Linked DNA regions of Pelodiscus sinensis. The protein of the gene in region 1 purifies or fractionates together with the protein of each later gene. This does not show direct contact. Links are inferred from orthologs where the notes say so. Each region holds a gene or a part of one and is shown on either strand. Other genes may lie near its edges.

Region 1 (7,608 bases):
GGTCCCAGACAGACACAGCTATGCCAGCCCCTATTACAGATGTCATTATACTAACAAAATTGTGCTTTGACTGGTACAATAAGTAGTCCTATGGCACCTTAGAGACTAACAAAAACATATAGGATTATGAGCTCAGCTCATCAGATGAGTTGGAGTGGAAATAACAGAATCCAAGGTGTATATATAAATGCAAAAGAAGTACCGGACAATTATCAGACTATTATGAAGACATCATCAGACATTATTGGACAATTATGAAGCTAATTAAAAGGGCTGGACGTGGGAATTTTTTTTAAATTACAGACTAACACAGCTACCCCTTAGACTTTTTTTTATTTTTTACTGGTACTGTGTGTGTGTTGGGGGGGGGATGGGACTGTAGGTGTGTGGAATACATTATACTGCTATAAGTACAGCTTTGCCAGTATAGCTACTTGCAGATTAGGCATGCTTGGCAGTATGGCCCAAGTTAAAAGTGCTGCCAACTTACTGAGGAGAGGAGAGCTGGAGCCCAGGGAAGCAAATAAATAGGAAATCCCCAGAAAACACAATCAGTTATCGGTTAAAGCAGTGTTTCCTGTGTCTATGACCAGCAAACCAGAAAAGAAGACATTTGTAGATAATCATCTTTCACTAGCTGGGGTGGGATGGGGATGGAATCATATAAACAGATTATCTTGAACAAGTGCTGTCAGTTCACACAACCAAGAAGAAATGGGTGTTTCAAAATAATATTTTTTAAAAACTTCAGACTTCACCCTCAGTGAACGCTTCATTTCACAGTTCCAGGCACTGCATTTTCTAGCTGTCAGCGGAGCCAGGGATTCCCAGGGAACCAGAATTTCATGGGAATGAAAAGGAGTTCCCAGCAGTGTCTCCCTCTAGTCTAAACTGCCTCTCTGAGATGGTGCTGCTCAGTGGTGGGGTCCGATCAATGGAAATATATGCGGTCAACTCAGTTTAAAAGTAGGGTGAAAACGGATGTATCCTTTCCTGCCAGCAAAAGCAGGGCAGGGAGGTGGTGTTCCACTACTGCACAGGCTGTAAAAAAGCTGCAAGAACCACCAATCATCTGAGACAGCCCTGGTCATCCTAGCACCAAAGCATCACTGACTGACCCTAACATGTCCAGCAATAACTGGACACATCAGCTCCAACTCAGGAAGGAAAAGGCATGAGAAATAAATAGCCAAACAGAACAAAGAACACAGCCCTTCACCCACAAAAAAACCCTGGGGGGGGGGGGCTCATAACTGGGACAAACATGTTGACCTTATTACACAGACAGGCCTATGCAACCTATTGTTCAATTAACACAGTGGTGTAGAGCTGATTAACTATTCATTGCAGGCAACTACTAGAAAACCCCTCTTGCTATGTACAGGGTAAGATTTACTTCTCAAATAACATGAAAAACAACAGGGCTCAAGTTCTTCAGACCGTTACTTAAAAACAACCAAAACCGGATCTCTTCTAAAATCTAGAGCCGTGGAAACTCAGGCAAAGATTTTCCCGAGATTCGGGGTGTGGTCCCTGCAAAATTCTCCAAGCAGGGAGAGAGTGCGAGACGATGGGAGGGGTGTAGATCGCCCTTCTATGTAGCTCGTCCTAATTTGTCTAGCTTATAAACAACTAACTGGCTTTTAACTCTCTCCTTCCTACCCGTAGCAGCCCTTTCCCAAGCAACCAACCCTAACTCTCAGTCTTAATCTCACAGCAACAGTTTCCCATTCATATCTCAAGGCTGGGAAACATCCTCCCCCACTCTGTCCGGATTCCCTGTTCGCAATACCAGAAGAGGAGGAGCACTAGATAGATTTTTTTAAAATCAGGTTTACGTGTCTCCTCATTTTGAGCTAATTTGTTTTTTAGAGCCAACTTCACTCTACATATTAGAACATTTGGCATCAAAACTAATTACACAGATAAAAAATCTTTATAGAAGAGGTTCCCCCCCTTTAAAAAAAAGGAAAGGAAAGGAAAGGGGGGGGGGAGAAACAGGTCTGACTCCAGTTTCCAGCCTCTAATCACGGGTTTGCACGCTTTAGTGATTATTTAGTGCCCATCTACTAGAACGCCAGAAGACAAATCGGTCTGCAGATGTAGTTATAACTCATTCCCACGAGCGAAACACCCTCAGATGTTATGTAACTACGCACCAGACTTAGTACCCACACCTTCTCCACTCAGCAGAGATAAACAGAGCTCCTCCATGCCTCCCAAGCGTCTACCAATTCAGTTTACAGGTGGTTTACTAACTCTGGAGGGCGTCGGTGCATTTTAACCCTGGATCAATCAACGAAAGCCTTCCGAATGTAACAGCCCGTTAAAACCCACCTCTAGATTTACGGGGATATTTTTTTTTTTAAAAAAAAACCCAATTCTGAACGGTTCCTTAGCAGGATAGGAAGAGCTCACGGCTCAGGCCCTTGTGTGTTTCCAATGCAACAACCATTTTTCCTGGGCTAAGCCTCCTCCATCTTCCAAGCCCTCTGCAGCTCCCTCATCGCTCGTAGCGGTTCGGGGCAGGAGGTTTTGCGCCTCCAGCTCACACCAAGCAAAGCCAAGTCGCCGCTCCATGCTGAGCCCGCTGCATTGTTTGGGGGAGGGAATCTTCCCCCCCCCCCCCCCAGCCAGGAGGAGAAAACACAACACAGCCCCCCACGCATCGCAGGAGACACCACGCCGCCCCCTGCAGCGCCGCGAGACCAGGGGGGAAGAAGCGCACTCACCCAAAAGACAAAATTGAAGACGAAGAGCAGGTATTTGATGCACTTGGTGCAGCCTTCCACTCCCATGGCGGCAGAGGTCGGTGGGCAGAGCTGCCTGCCAGACGGGGCCTGTTAAATCAGAGCGAGCAAAAGCGCCGCAGCTCTTGTAGAGGGTGGTCCTCTCTGTTTTCCTTTGGGACTTCCGCTGACTGGCGAGGTGCTAGGCTGTTTCTCCGCTTTATCTCCTCCCTCCTTCCACTACAGACACCCCCCGACTCTGTTGCTAAGCCAGGATCCTCCCACTCAGACGTAGGTCGTTTTTCCAGAAGAGGCTACCGCCTCCTGGGGGCAGCCAGCCCAAAGTCCCCCCGCCGACTTTCAACCCACGTCTGAAATGCCACAGAGATGATAATAAATAATAATAATAATAATAAATAATAATACTTGGCCGTTCTCAAGCAACTCTGAGAGGAGACTGATGGATAAGTAGCTCTGGGTCCCGGTTTACAAATCAAAGTGACTACTGAAAAATATATTGCTAAAGGATCATTGAATTCAGCAGTGGAGCCGCTCTGTGCCTGGGAATTTTTCCAGATGCCTGCTGGAAATTTGGGGTAGTTCAGGTTAAATCTGGCCGTTTTAAATTTGGGAAAGCTTTTGCGCATTGATTTCCCCCCCCGGCCCCATCCCCATCTAATATGTATAATTTGTATTAGACCTGATGCCACAAAACACCCTCGCATCCCCAGCTCCCTGCCATAACACCCCTGCACCCCCCCAAGCCCCAACCCTGTTCCCTTAGCCCATCATACACCTCAACCCCCTGTCCTCAGCCCCTTATACATCCCAACCTGGACTCCTGCACCCCCCACAACCCCAGCCCCTGCCATAACATCCCTGCACCCCCACACTCCAACTCTGTGCCCATTATACACACCAGCTAAGACTCCTGCACCCCCACATCCCAGTCTCATGCTTACTCATGCTTAACTATACTGTGGGGACTACTCCCATTGAAATCAATGTGACTACTTAGGGAAGTAAACTTAAGCACTCCATCTGAGGCCTAATCAGTGTAGAGTAGAGTGGAAATCTTGCTGCTTGTGTCTTGTTTATATCAGTGTTTCTCAACCAGTGGTACGAGTACCCTTAGGGGTACTCAAGAGAAGTGTGGGGGATATGTCAACACAATTGAAATTTGGAGAAAACTGAATTTTTGTTTTAAGTTTTATTGCGTTTTATTATTTTTGTACTTTTTAGACCCACAAATTTCAGCGCCCACCCTGCTACGATGAAGTTGTTTAAACAAAGGTGTTGCAATGGTAGAAAAAAATTGTGTGTCTGAAAACTGTAGGTACTGGGGGTACTTATATATATATATTTTTTGTGAAGGGGTACTTTATAAAAAAGGATGAGAAACACTGGCTTATATCACTTCTGTTTTTACATACTGGAATGAGGTTTGCTTTTTTTGCAGCAGTGTCAAACTGTTCACTTGTAGTTAGTTTGCGGTCCACTATGACTTCTAGATCCCTTTCTGCAATACCGTATATTCCGGCGTACAAGACGACCTCTGATGTTAAAAAACATCCCCCCAAAATCGGGGGTCGTCTTGTACGCCGGATGCACCGCCGCCGGAGCCCCTCCGCGGCTTTGAAAGCCTCGGGGGAAGCCGGCGGGGGGGCATCCCAGGCGCGCATGGGCTGCCCCCCCCCCCCCGGAGCCCCTCCGCGGCTTTGAAAGCCTCGGGGGAAGCCGGCGGCGGGGCATCCCAGGCGCGCATGGGCTGCCCCCCCGCCGGAGCCCCTCCGCGGCTTTGAAAGCCTCGGGGGAAGCCGGCGGCGGGGCATCCCAGGCGCGCATGGGCTGCCCCCCCGTCGGAGCCCCTCCGCGGCTTTGAAAGCCTCGGGGGAAGCCGGCGGCGGGGCATCCCAGGCGCGCATGGGCTGCCCCCCCGTCGGAGCCCCTCCGCGGCTTTGAAAGCCTCGGGGGAAGCCGGCGGCGGGGCATCCCAGGCGCGCATGGGCTGCCCCCCCGTCGGAGCCCCTCCGCGGCTTTGAAAGCCTCGGGGGAAGCCGGCGGCGGGGCATCCCAGGCGCGCATGGGCTGCCCCCCCCCCCCCGGAGCCCCTCCGCGGCTTTGAAAGCCTCGGGGGAAGCCGGCGGCGGGGCATCCCAGGCGCGCATGGGCTGCCCCCCCGCCGGAGCCCCTCCGCGGCTTTGAAAGCCTCGGGGGAAGCCGGCGGCGGGGCATCCCAGGCGCGCATGGGCTGCCCCCCCGTCGGAGCCCCTCCGCGGCTTTGAAAGCCTCGGGGGAAGCCGGCGGCGGGGCATCCCAGGCGCGCATGGGCTGCCCCCCCGCCGGAGCCCCTCCGCGGCTTTGAAAGCCTCGGGGGAAGCCGGCGGCGGGGCATCCCAGGCGCGCATGGGCTGCCCCCCCGACGGAGCCCCTCCGCGGCTTTGAAAGCCTCGGGGGAAGCCGGCGGCGGGGCATCCCAGGCGCGCATGGGCTGCCCCCCCGTCGGAGCCCCTCCGCGGCTTTGAAAGCCTCGGGGGAAGCCGGCGGCGGGGCATCCCAGGCGCGCATGGGCTGCCCCCCTGCCGGAGCCCCTCCGCGGTGGCGCGGAGGGGCTCCGGCGGGGGGGCAGCCCATGCGCGCCTGGGATGCCCCGCCGCCGGCTTCCCCCGAGGCTTTCAAAGCCGCGGAGGGGCTCCGGCGGGGGGGCAGCCCATGCGCGCCTGGGATGCCCCGCCGCCGGCTTCCCCCGAGGCTTTCAAAGCCGCGGAGGGGCTCCGGCGGGGGGGCAGCCCATGCGCGCCTGGGATGCCCCCCCGCCGGCTTCCCCCGAGGCTTTCAAAGCCTCGGAGGGGCTCCGGCGGGGGGGGGGGGGGGCAGCCCAGGCGCTCCTGGCGGCTTTGCTCCCGGTGCCTCTGGTCTGCTGGGGACCATCTCCAGCAGACCAGGGACACCGGGAGCAAAGGAGGCGGAGGGGCGCTGGGGTATAAGATGAAACCCTATCTTTTAATTAAAAAGATAGGGGGTCGTCTTATACACCCAGTCGCCCTATACGCCGGAAAATACGGTACTCCTTCCTAGGCAGTCATTAGGGTTGCCAAATGGTTTCAGCAAAAATACTGGACACACTTGACATTACATCACAATCTACATTACATCTTATTTAGAAAATACCGGCCATTTATATTTTCTCAATTTGTTTCCCGAACAGAACGCTCAAATACTGAACTGTCTGGTTCAAAACCGGACACCTGGCAACCCTAGTCATTTCCCATTTTGCATGTGTGCAGTTGATTTTTCCTTCCCAAGTGGAGTACTTTGCATTTGTCCTTATGGAATTTCATCCTATTTACCTGAGACCATTTGTCCAGTTTGTCAAGATCATTTTGAATTATAATCCTATCCTCCAAAGCACTTGCAACCCCTCCCAGCTTGGGATCTTCCACAAAATTTATACGAATATTCTATATGTAATTATATAAATCGTTGATGATGATAGTGAACAGAACCAGACCCATTACCAAGCTCTGTGGGACCCCACTCATTATGTCCTTCCATAATGACTGTGAACTATTGATAATTATTAGGGCTCGACAAACCTTTTTATCTACTCGCCTGTGGCGAGTAGATTTTAGCCGGTCGCCCTGTTCACTGGCGGTGCACACATGCGCAGTGCGGGTCTGGCGCATGCATGGTGTGGGGCTGGCAAGTGGATTTCGCCGCGGTTTGTCGAGCCATGATAATTACTCTCTGGGAATAATCAACCAGTTATGCACCCACTATATAGTAGTCCACTCTACGTTGTATTTCACTAGTTTATTAATGAGAAAGACATTTGAGATTGAATCCAAAGCTTTTCTAATGTCTAGGTAGACCACTTCTACTACTTCCTCTTATCAACAAGGTTTGCTATGCCATCAAAGAAATCTATCAGGTTAGTTTGACATGATTTGTTCTTTAAAAATCCATGTTGACTGTTTCTTCTCTCATTATCTTCTAGATGTTTGCAAGTGGATTCCTTAATTATTTGTGCCATGATCTTTCCTGTTACAAAAGTGAAAATGACTGGCCTGTATTTCCTGGGTTGTCCTTATTTCCCTTTTTATAGGTGGGCTTTTTCCAGGCTTCTGGAATCTTTCCTGTCTTGTATTATCTTTGAAAAGTCATGGCTAATGGCTCAGATATCTCCTCAATCAGCTCCTTTGAGTATTCTAGGATGCATTTCATCAGGCCTTGGGAACTTGAAGACATCTAGCTTGTACAAGTAATTGTTAATTTATTCTTTTTCTAATTTTTTTTAACTCCGGAACCTACCTTATTTTCACCAGCAATCACAATGCTAGGTGTACAATCACCACCAGCCATCTTAGCGACAACCAAAATGAAGCCATTAAGTACCTCTGCCATTTCCACATTTTTGTTATTGTTTTCCCCTCTTTACTGAGTAGTGGTTCCAACCTGTCCTTCCCCTTCTAAAACATTTGTAGAATATTTTCTTGTTACCCTTTATGTCACTAGCTAGTTTGAGTTCATTTTGAGCCTATGCCTTTCTAATTTTGCCCCATACATAGTTTTGTTGTCTGTATTCATCCTTTATAACTTGATCTAGTTTCTTCTTCTTGTGGGACTCCTTTTTGATTTTCATATCACTCATGATCTCCTGGTTAAACCAGCGTGGTCTCTTCCGTACTTCTTATCTTTCCTGTGTTGTAGGAAAGTTTGCTTTTGCACCCTTAATAATGTCCCTTTGAAAAACTGCCAACTCTCCAATTTTTTTTTCCTCTTAAGGTGTGTCAATACTGCACTCATAGCTCGAAATAATCTATGCAATTTGAGCTATGCAAATTGCATAGCTTATTTTGAGTCAACTTTGAAATAGCTT
Region 2 (7,254 bases), on another chromosome or scaffold:
CCACCACTATACACGTCTATCCAGGCAACATCCACAACCTCCATCCATCATCACACACATCTATCCAATCACCATCTACCACCACCACACATCTATTCACCCCACCACACACGTCTCTCTACCCACCACCTACAGCCACACGTCTACCCATCTACCATCCATCCACCACTCTACACACATCTATCCATCCATCCATCCATCCATCCATCCATCACCATGCCTACCACCATCCAGAGCCCTCCAGCTGTCTTTGCTTCTGTCTGCAGAGTGTCACCCACAGCTCTCTATCCCTCCGCAGTGAGTGGACTCTGTCTCAACCTTAGAATAGTGATAGAGATGCAGCTGTGTTAATCTGGTGTAGCTAAAACAAAAGACAGGACTTGGTAGCACTTTAAAGACTAACAAGATGGTTTATTAGGTGATGAGCTTTCATGGGCCAGACCCACTTCCTCAGCTCAAATTGTGGAAGAAAATTGTCATGACCATATATACCAAAGTGATACAATCAAAAAAATGAACGCATGTGAAATTGAAAATTACCTCACAGACACTAACCTTCCCCCCTCACCCCACTCTGTTCTAAAATTTGATTTGTCAATTTCACATGCATTCATTTTTTTGATTGTATCACTTTGATTTATAAAGTTGTGCCGATTTTCTTCCACATATTGATGTGAGGAAGTGGGTCTGGCCCACGAAAGCTCATCACCTAATAAACCATCTTGTTAGTCTTTAAAGTGCTACATAGTCCTGTCTTTTGTTTCATCCCAACCTTAGGGTTGTGATATCTCCTCACACCATCTCCCTGCTCCATCAGACCTTCCCTCTGTGGCTGGCCCTTGGAGACCAACTCCCATGGAGACTTCAGCTCAATGGGAGCCCAGTCTCTGTTCACCGCTAGCCTCACCCCAGCACAGGCCGATCTTTTGGCTCCCTGCCAGCAGCCTGTTTGGACTCTGGGCTGCTGGGGGCAGAGACCTGTTGCTCTGGAGCTCAGAGAATCCATTAGCAGGCGGCTGCTTTGACAGCTTGTCTGCGGTTTCCTCTGGGGAGGTGCTAGGGAGATTAATCTGCATCGACCGGGGCGGGATCAATAGACTCCAACGAGCTGGGCAGGAAATATTGACTGGGACAGGTCCAGCTCCAGATAATTGCTTCTACAAACAACCTCCAGCAGTGCAGCAGCTGGTGGGAGCAGCATGCACAGTGCAGGAGGGTGGAGGGGGAGGATCCTGAACTATTTCTCTGGAGGGCGGGGCTGGATCTGTAGTACAACCTTTTATTCTGTCATTGGAACTCATGGGGGCCAAGTTGTATCCCCTGCTGCTTGTGCAGCCATTTACCCCAGTACAAAGGGGAGTGCAACACACCCAGGCTATGTCTACACTGGCGCGATCTTGCGCCAGAGATATGCAAATGAGGCTAAGCGTGGAATATCGCCGAGCCTCATTTGCATATCTAATAAGCCGCCATTTTTGCGAAAGAGGATCTTGCACCAGAAGGAGCTGTCTACACTGCCCCTTCTTGCACAAGAAAAACCCTCTTGCACAATGCCATTATTCCCGAAAATAATCAGCATAGTGGCATTGCGCAAGAGGGTTTTCCTTGCGCAAGAAGGGGAAGTATAGACAGCTCCTTGTGGTGCAAGAGCCTCTTCTGCAAAAATGACAGCTCATTTGATATGCAAATGACACGCTTAGCCTCATTTGCATATCTCTGGCGCAAGATCGCGCCAGTGTAGACATAGCCCTTGTGTTCACACTTGGCCTGCACTGATGTGAAGGGCACACAAGGGGACAACAGGGAATCAGGCTGCTTGAGACACTGAAAAGGGCTGGATGTTGCTTTCAGCCTGGGGCAACTTAGAGCAGAGTTAAGGCTACTGTAACTTACACAGAGCAGAGTTAAGGCTACTCTAACTTAATGGCCTCCCACTGCAGTGAATGGAGATCTCACAGGGCAGACGGTGTCTTTCTCCCTATGCTGAGGTGATAGTGGCAGGAGGAGGAGAGGCCGTTGTGTGTCACCCTGTGTCAGGGCCACAGGTAGGGAACCCTCAATGTGCCTGTCAAGGCAGCATCGCAGCTGCTGTGTGACAATCACCAAAGGGCCCAGGATAGAGCTCTGTGAGCTGGGTGGTTTATTTCTGGGTCACTCTTCCCAGGTCCCTACAGGAGTAGCGTGCAGAGGAACAATCCCATTCAGGGATACTGCAAACTCCCCAGAACCGGGCCTGAGGTTTGCGGCATGAGCTTCAGCCAGGTTCTTCCTGGATCCCAGGGGAAAGGATTTCCCATAGCCCAAGTTCCTGGAGGGTGCTGGCATGGTGTTAAGGAGTCAACTTCAAACCCCTTCACAGCAGGACTGTGTCCAAGCTACCCTCAGGGTACAGATCCAGGGCTTACTTCATGGCCAGGGGTGAGCGTATGTGTGTGTATGAGGGGAGTATTCTTGGCTTTGGGAGCTTCCCAGTTATACAGCTGAGCTGAGTTTGAAAGGCAGCTAGATGGATCTTGTGGTCAGGAACCCATTGTATGGTACGCGGTCAGGAGGGTTAATGTTGTCATTCCTTTGCCCAAACAGTAGCAGATTTCAGGGCCTAGCAGGTCAATTTCCCAGGGGAGGAGAAACCTGTGTCAAGTAGCTCAGGTGTATTCTTAGCGCACTTGTTTGCCACGCTATGTGCATCAGTCCGGGAACAGTCGCGTTCCCGGCAACACTGGCATTCCTGGCAACAGGCACACACCCATGCCCGGTCCCTGGGGGCAGCTCTGCTCCGAGAATTGACTCTCCTTCAAGAGATCCCAGCAGGGAGCAAAGTGCCAACTGCTTGCAACAGCTCCTCTAAAAGCCAAAACAGCCCTGCAAAGGGACAACACTCAGCATTTCAGGCCAGACCCATGCTGCTCCCACAAGACCAAACAGATCTTGTCTGGCTGGGTACAAAAGCGTCACCTGATGATTCCTCCCCTAACAATGGCCCTTGGTGGTCTCCTGCACAGCTAGGAAAGTCTCACTCCTCAGCAGGGATGTTAATGAATTAGCAACACCATCTCCCAACTGCCTGCAAAGCAGCTCAGGATCAACTAAATTATACATTGTAGGAAACTGAGGCACAGGAATCCTACAACAAGTCACTGACAGAGCTGGGAATAGAACTCAGGAATTCTGATCCTCAGGCAGGCGACATATTATATCCTAATCTCCTCCCAAAACCCAGGAGTCCTGGCTCCCTAGACCCCACTCTAACCCTTAGACCCACTCTCTCAGTGTTTAAGGCTTCTTATTTCACCAGGAAGTGGGGAAGTGTCCAGTGTCCTAGGGCCCCTCCATCCTGCCCAGGGCAGCTCCCCCACCCTGTCACAGCAGCGTGCAAAGGACTGATAGTTGCTCCACCAGTGCTCAAAGGCAGCCACCTCTGGGGTGGAACAAGGCAGCAGTGCAGTAGCCACGCAGCAATTCTCCACAGGGATCCCTCACCGCACAGCACTGACATGCAGCCACCTCTGGGGTGGAACAAGGCAGCTGTGTAGTAGCCACGCAGCAATGCCCCACAGGGATCCCTCACCGCACAGCACTGACATGCAGCCACCTCTGGGGTGGAACAAGGCAGCTGTGTAGCAGCCACGCAGCAATGCCCCACACGGATCCCTCACCACCCAGCACTGACATGCAGCCACCTCTGGGGTCGAACAAGGCAGCTGTGTAGTAGCCACGCAGCAATTCCCCACAGGGATCCCTCACCGCACAGCACTGACATGCAGCCACCTCTGGGGTGGAACAAGGCAGCTGTGTAGTAGCCACGCAGCAATTCCCCACAGGGATCCCTCACCGCCCAGCATTGACATGCAGCCACCTCTGGGGTGGAACAAGGCAGCTGTGTAGCAGCCACGCAGCAATGCCCCACAGGGATCCCTCACCGCCCAGCACTGACATGCAGCCACCTCTGGGGTGGAACAAGGCAGCTGTGTAGCAGCCACGCAGCAATGCCCCACACGGATCCCTCACCGCCCAGCATTGACATGCAGCCGCCTCTGCGTTGGGACTCGTAAAACAGCCGCCCAGGGTCGCTCAGCGCGCAGTGCAACCCCGTGTCCCGCGGGGAGGCCGCTTGGGAGGCGCCGGGCACGGAGAGGGTCGGGGGGGGGGGGGGGGGGGAGCATTCTCGCCCTGCGGTCGCTCTGAGCCGGGGCGCGGGACGTGGCGGCGCTGGCTGCGGCGGGGGCCGGGCCGGGGGATCGATCCGGGCCGCCCAGCGGCTGTTCCCAGCGCTGCAGTCGGGCAGGGCGGGGCCAGGGGAGGCCGAACGGACCTGGGCTGCCTGCACCTCGCCCCTCTCCTGAGCCGGCGCACGGGGCCGCCTTGCGCGTCCCGGGCGAAGGCTCCCAGCGCCGGGCCGGTGCTCGCCACCATGGAAGCCGCGAGGGCGCCGCTGCCCCGGGCCGCGCTGGGCTCCTTGCTGCTGCTGATGGGTGAGTCGCCCGCGCAGGGTCAGCGCCGGGCTGCGGGGAGCCCTGGCTGCAGCTGCTTGGCACGGATGGGGGTGCGGTGCGGGGGCCCGCGCATGAGAGCTGCTGGAGGTGGGGCAGCCCTGCCCCCTTGGCGGGCGGCGAGTCCTGGGGACGGGGGTGCACTGAGGCTGGGAAAGGGAGGGGGGAGGCTGGGGGAGCCCAGCCCCCTTGGCAGCTGGGAAAGGGACGGGGGTGCGGGAGGCTGGGGGAGCCCAGCCCCCTTGGCAGCTGGGAAAGGGACGGGGGTGCGGGAGGCTGGGGGAGCCCAGTCCCCTTGGCAGCTGGGAAAGGGAGGGGGGAGGCTGGGGGAGCCCAGCCCCCTTGGCAGCTGGGAAAGGGACGGGGATGCGGGAGGCTGGGGGAGCCCAGTCCCCTTGGCAGCTGGGAAAGGGACGGGGGTGCAGGCAGCTGGGGGGAGCCCTGCCGCTGAGGTAGTGGGGGTGCAGGCGGCCGGGTGGAGCCCTGTCCCCCTCCTAGCTGGGCACTGAGGGTGCGGGCGGCTCCCTGCTCCTTTGGCAGCTGGGGACACAGGGTGCTGGTGGCTGGGGGGGGAGCCCTGCCCTCGAGGCAGCTTGGCACTGGGGGTGTGGGCAGCTGGGGGAGCCCTGCCCCTTCGGGGGCAAGGTGCTGTGGCCCGGTAGGATGAAGGTTCATAGCCCTTGCTCCCCCACCAAGCCAAGGGAACAGGGCCCTGCCCTCCTGACTCCTCCTTCCCCAATCTCCCCACTGGAGCAGGGAGGCCTCTTACTATTCCCCTGGTAACTCCCTCCCAGCAGCTCCCCCAAACACCAAGCTGTGCATGTGCCTGGGGCTTGCCCTGGCAGCTCACACCTCCAGGGCTGCCTCTGTGACCCAGAGCCCACACCAGCACTGGGCAGGAGAATGCAACGGGTCCTGCCCCCCATTTACAGAAACATCTGCCTGCTGGCCCCGTTTGGTGCATGTGTCGGGGTGGGTGTCTTCTCTGACTTTTCATTTAGTCTGATCCTCATTTTGTGATTGCTTCCCTCGGATCCGCTGGATTTGATCCTTGGCCTGCTCGTGGGAGGGGAGAGGGGCTGTGCAGCATGCTAACAACCAGCTCTGGACTTTTCTAACGGTGCCCTGGCAAGAGCTGATCAGACCCAGGAGACGACTCCGTCTGTCCTGCCCATGAGGCTGTCTGGTTGGGTCCCCAGTTGTGAATAGGGACAGATCAAGGATGGGGGCAGGGCTCAGGGGAAGACTCTGCCCCAGACCTGCACGACCCCTGGTTCTCCAGCTGGCATGTCATGGCTCCTGTGCCAGGCCTTAGTGCCTGCTGCTTGCACCGCATGGTCCCAGCTTGGCCTGCCCCCCAGGGAATTTCACTGGTGATGCGGCGTAAATCCCCTACAGTTGGTGGGGTTTCTGGGAAAGGGTGAGTTGCTCTGTGGGCCCAGCGTGACTTTTTAGCAAGGACAGCTCTTCGTCATGGGCCTGATTTTGATTAACCACCTGCCCTGTGGGCACAAATGGCTTTAACTTGGCACTCCTGGTATTCCAGGCTCTGGCCTGCCCCGGTATAAATCAGAGCAGCCTCAGCGTGGCTCTAACTCTCACCCTCCTTCCCCCGGGGGGACAGAAAATAGCTGTCGCACAGTGCGCTCTGGCCACACCTCTGATCCACAGCCCAGGCTGCTCCATCTCAGCTCCCAGACCCGTCTCTTCCCTGCAGCACCCACCCTCCTCTCCAGGGGCTGGGCAGAGTAACTGAACCTTGTGGGAAACACGCTCTGGGGACAGCAGAACACCTCGCTTTCCTCCTGCCGCACGCACCCTAAGGAATTAGCCCAGCGTGCCAGCACTGGGCAAGTCTTATTCCCCCCCAGACTGCAGAGAAGATAACAGCCTAGTACTGCTACCCTGCCCCTTGACCTCCAGAGACTGGGGCAGGGTGGTGCTGGTTCACAGCCAGTTTGCCCCTTTGTGTTGATAAAGGAAAGGCGCCCCTCCCCTGAGGCTTGCACAGCTGCGTTTCAGCCCAAGGCCTTAGAGCCATGGTTCTCAAAGTGCACTCTGCAGACCACTAGTGGCCTGCAAACATCTTGCGGGCAGCCTGTGGGCTCAGGGCTTGCCTACCCCGCCCCCCCCCCCTCCTGCCCGCACAGTGGGGTGCCTACACTAACACTCCAGCCCTGTATTTCCCCTCCCATGAAGTTGAAGCACCAACACTGGCTTCCCGCTGCAGGGGAGAGGCAGGCCATCCTGGCAGGCTTGCAGGGGAAGGAAGTGGCTCTGTGTGCTGCCACTGCTTCTCCCCCGGATGGGGGAATGGCAGCACAGAAAACGGCTTGCCTGGAGGTTTTCCCCACCCCGCTGCTCCCATTGGCTGGAATCATGGCCAATGAGAGCAGCAGGGTGGGGTGGGCTATGCTGAGGGTGGTGGGAGGCATGGAGCCAGATACATGCCCCCCATCCTTCTCATGTCCTGACCCCCCAACCCTCCCGGCATCTTCTCTCCCTCCCAGGTCATGCACATTGACCCCTCTCCTGTAGCTTCCCTCCTGCACCCTCTCTTCCTCCCAGCCAGACCATGCAGCCCCACCCCACCCTTTCATCATCATGGGTGGTTGGCTGGTGGTCTGTAGAAGAGTGTTCTTTGTGCGGGGTGGGCCACGGGCCAAAAAGTTTGAGAACCACTGCCTTAGAGAGTAGGAGGGGGTGCATAGCTGTGACATGGGATCGGGACCCAGGGCATCTGGATTCAAGCCAGTGACTGAGA

Evidence for each region.
Region 2: the proteins of CD81 (region 1) and IGSF8 purify together in Homo sapiens (co-immunoprecipitation; 3 studies listed by BioGRID and IntAct, with this or other methods). This does not show direct contact. The link is inferred for Pelodiscus sinensis from reciprocal best matches to the Homo sapiens genes CD81 and IGSF8.

What each region holds. Positions count from the first base shown.
Region 1 is NC_134714.1:115,680,604-115,688,211, forward strand, and holds the start of CD81 (CD81 antigen), read right to left. Parts: upstream 3,003-7,608; 5' UTR 2,799-3,002; coding exon 2,733-2,798; intron 1-2,732. UniProt on the Homo sapiens protein: Structural component of specialized membrane microdomains known as tetraspanin-enriched microdomains (TERMs), which act as platforms for receptor clustering and signaling.
Region 2 is NC_134734.1:14,343,214-14,350,467, reverse strand, and holds the start of IGSF8 (immunoglobulin superfamily member 8), read left to right. Parts: upstream 1-4,182; 5' UTR 4,183-4,411; coding exon 4,412-4,472; intron 4,473-7,254. UniProt on the Homo sapiens protein: Member of the immunoglobulin superfamily (IgSF) that links tetraspanin-enriched microdomains to the actin cytoskeleton and plays several important roles in innate and adaptive immunity.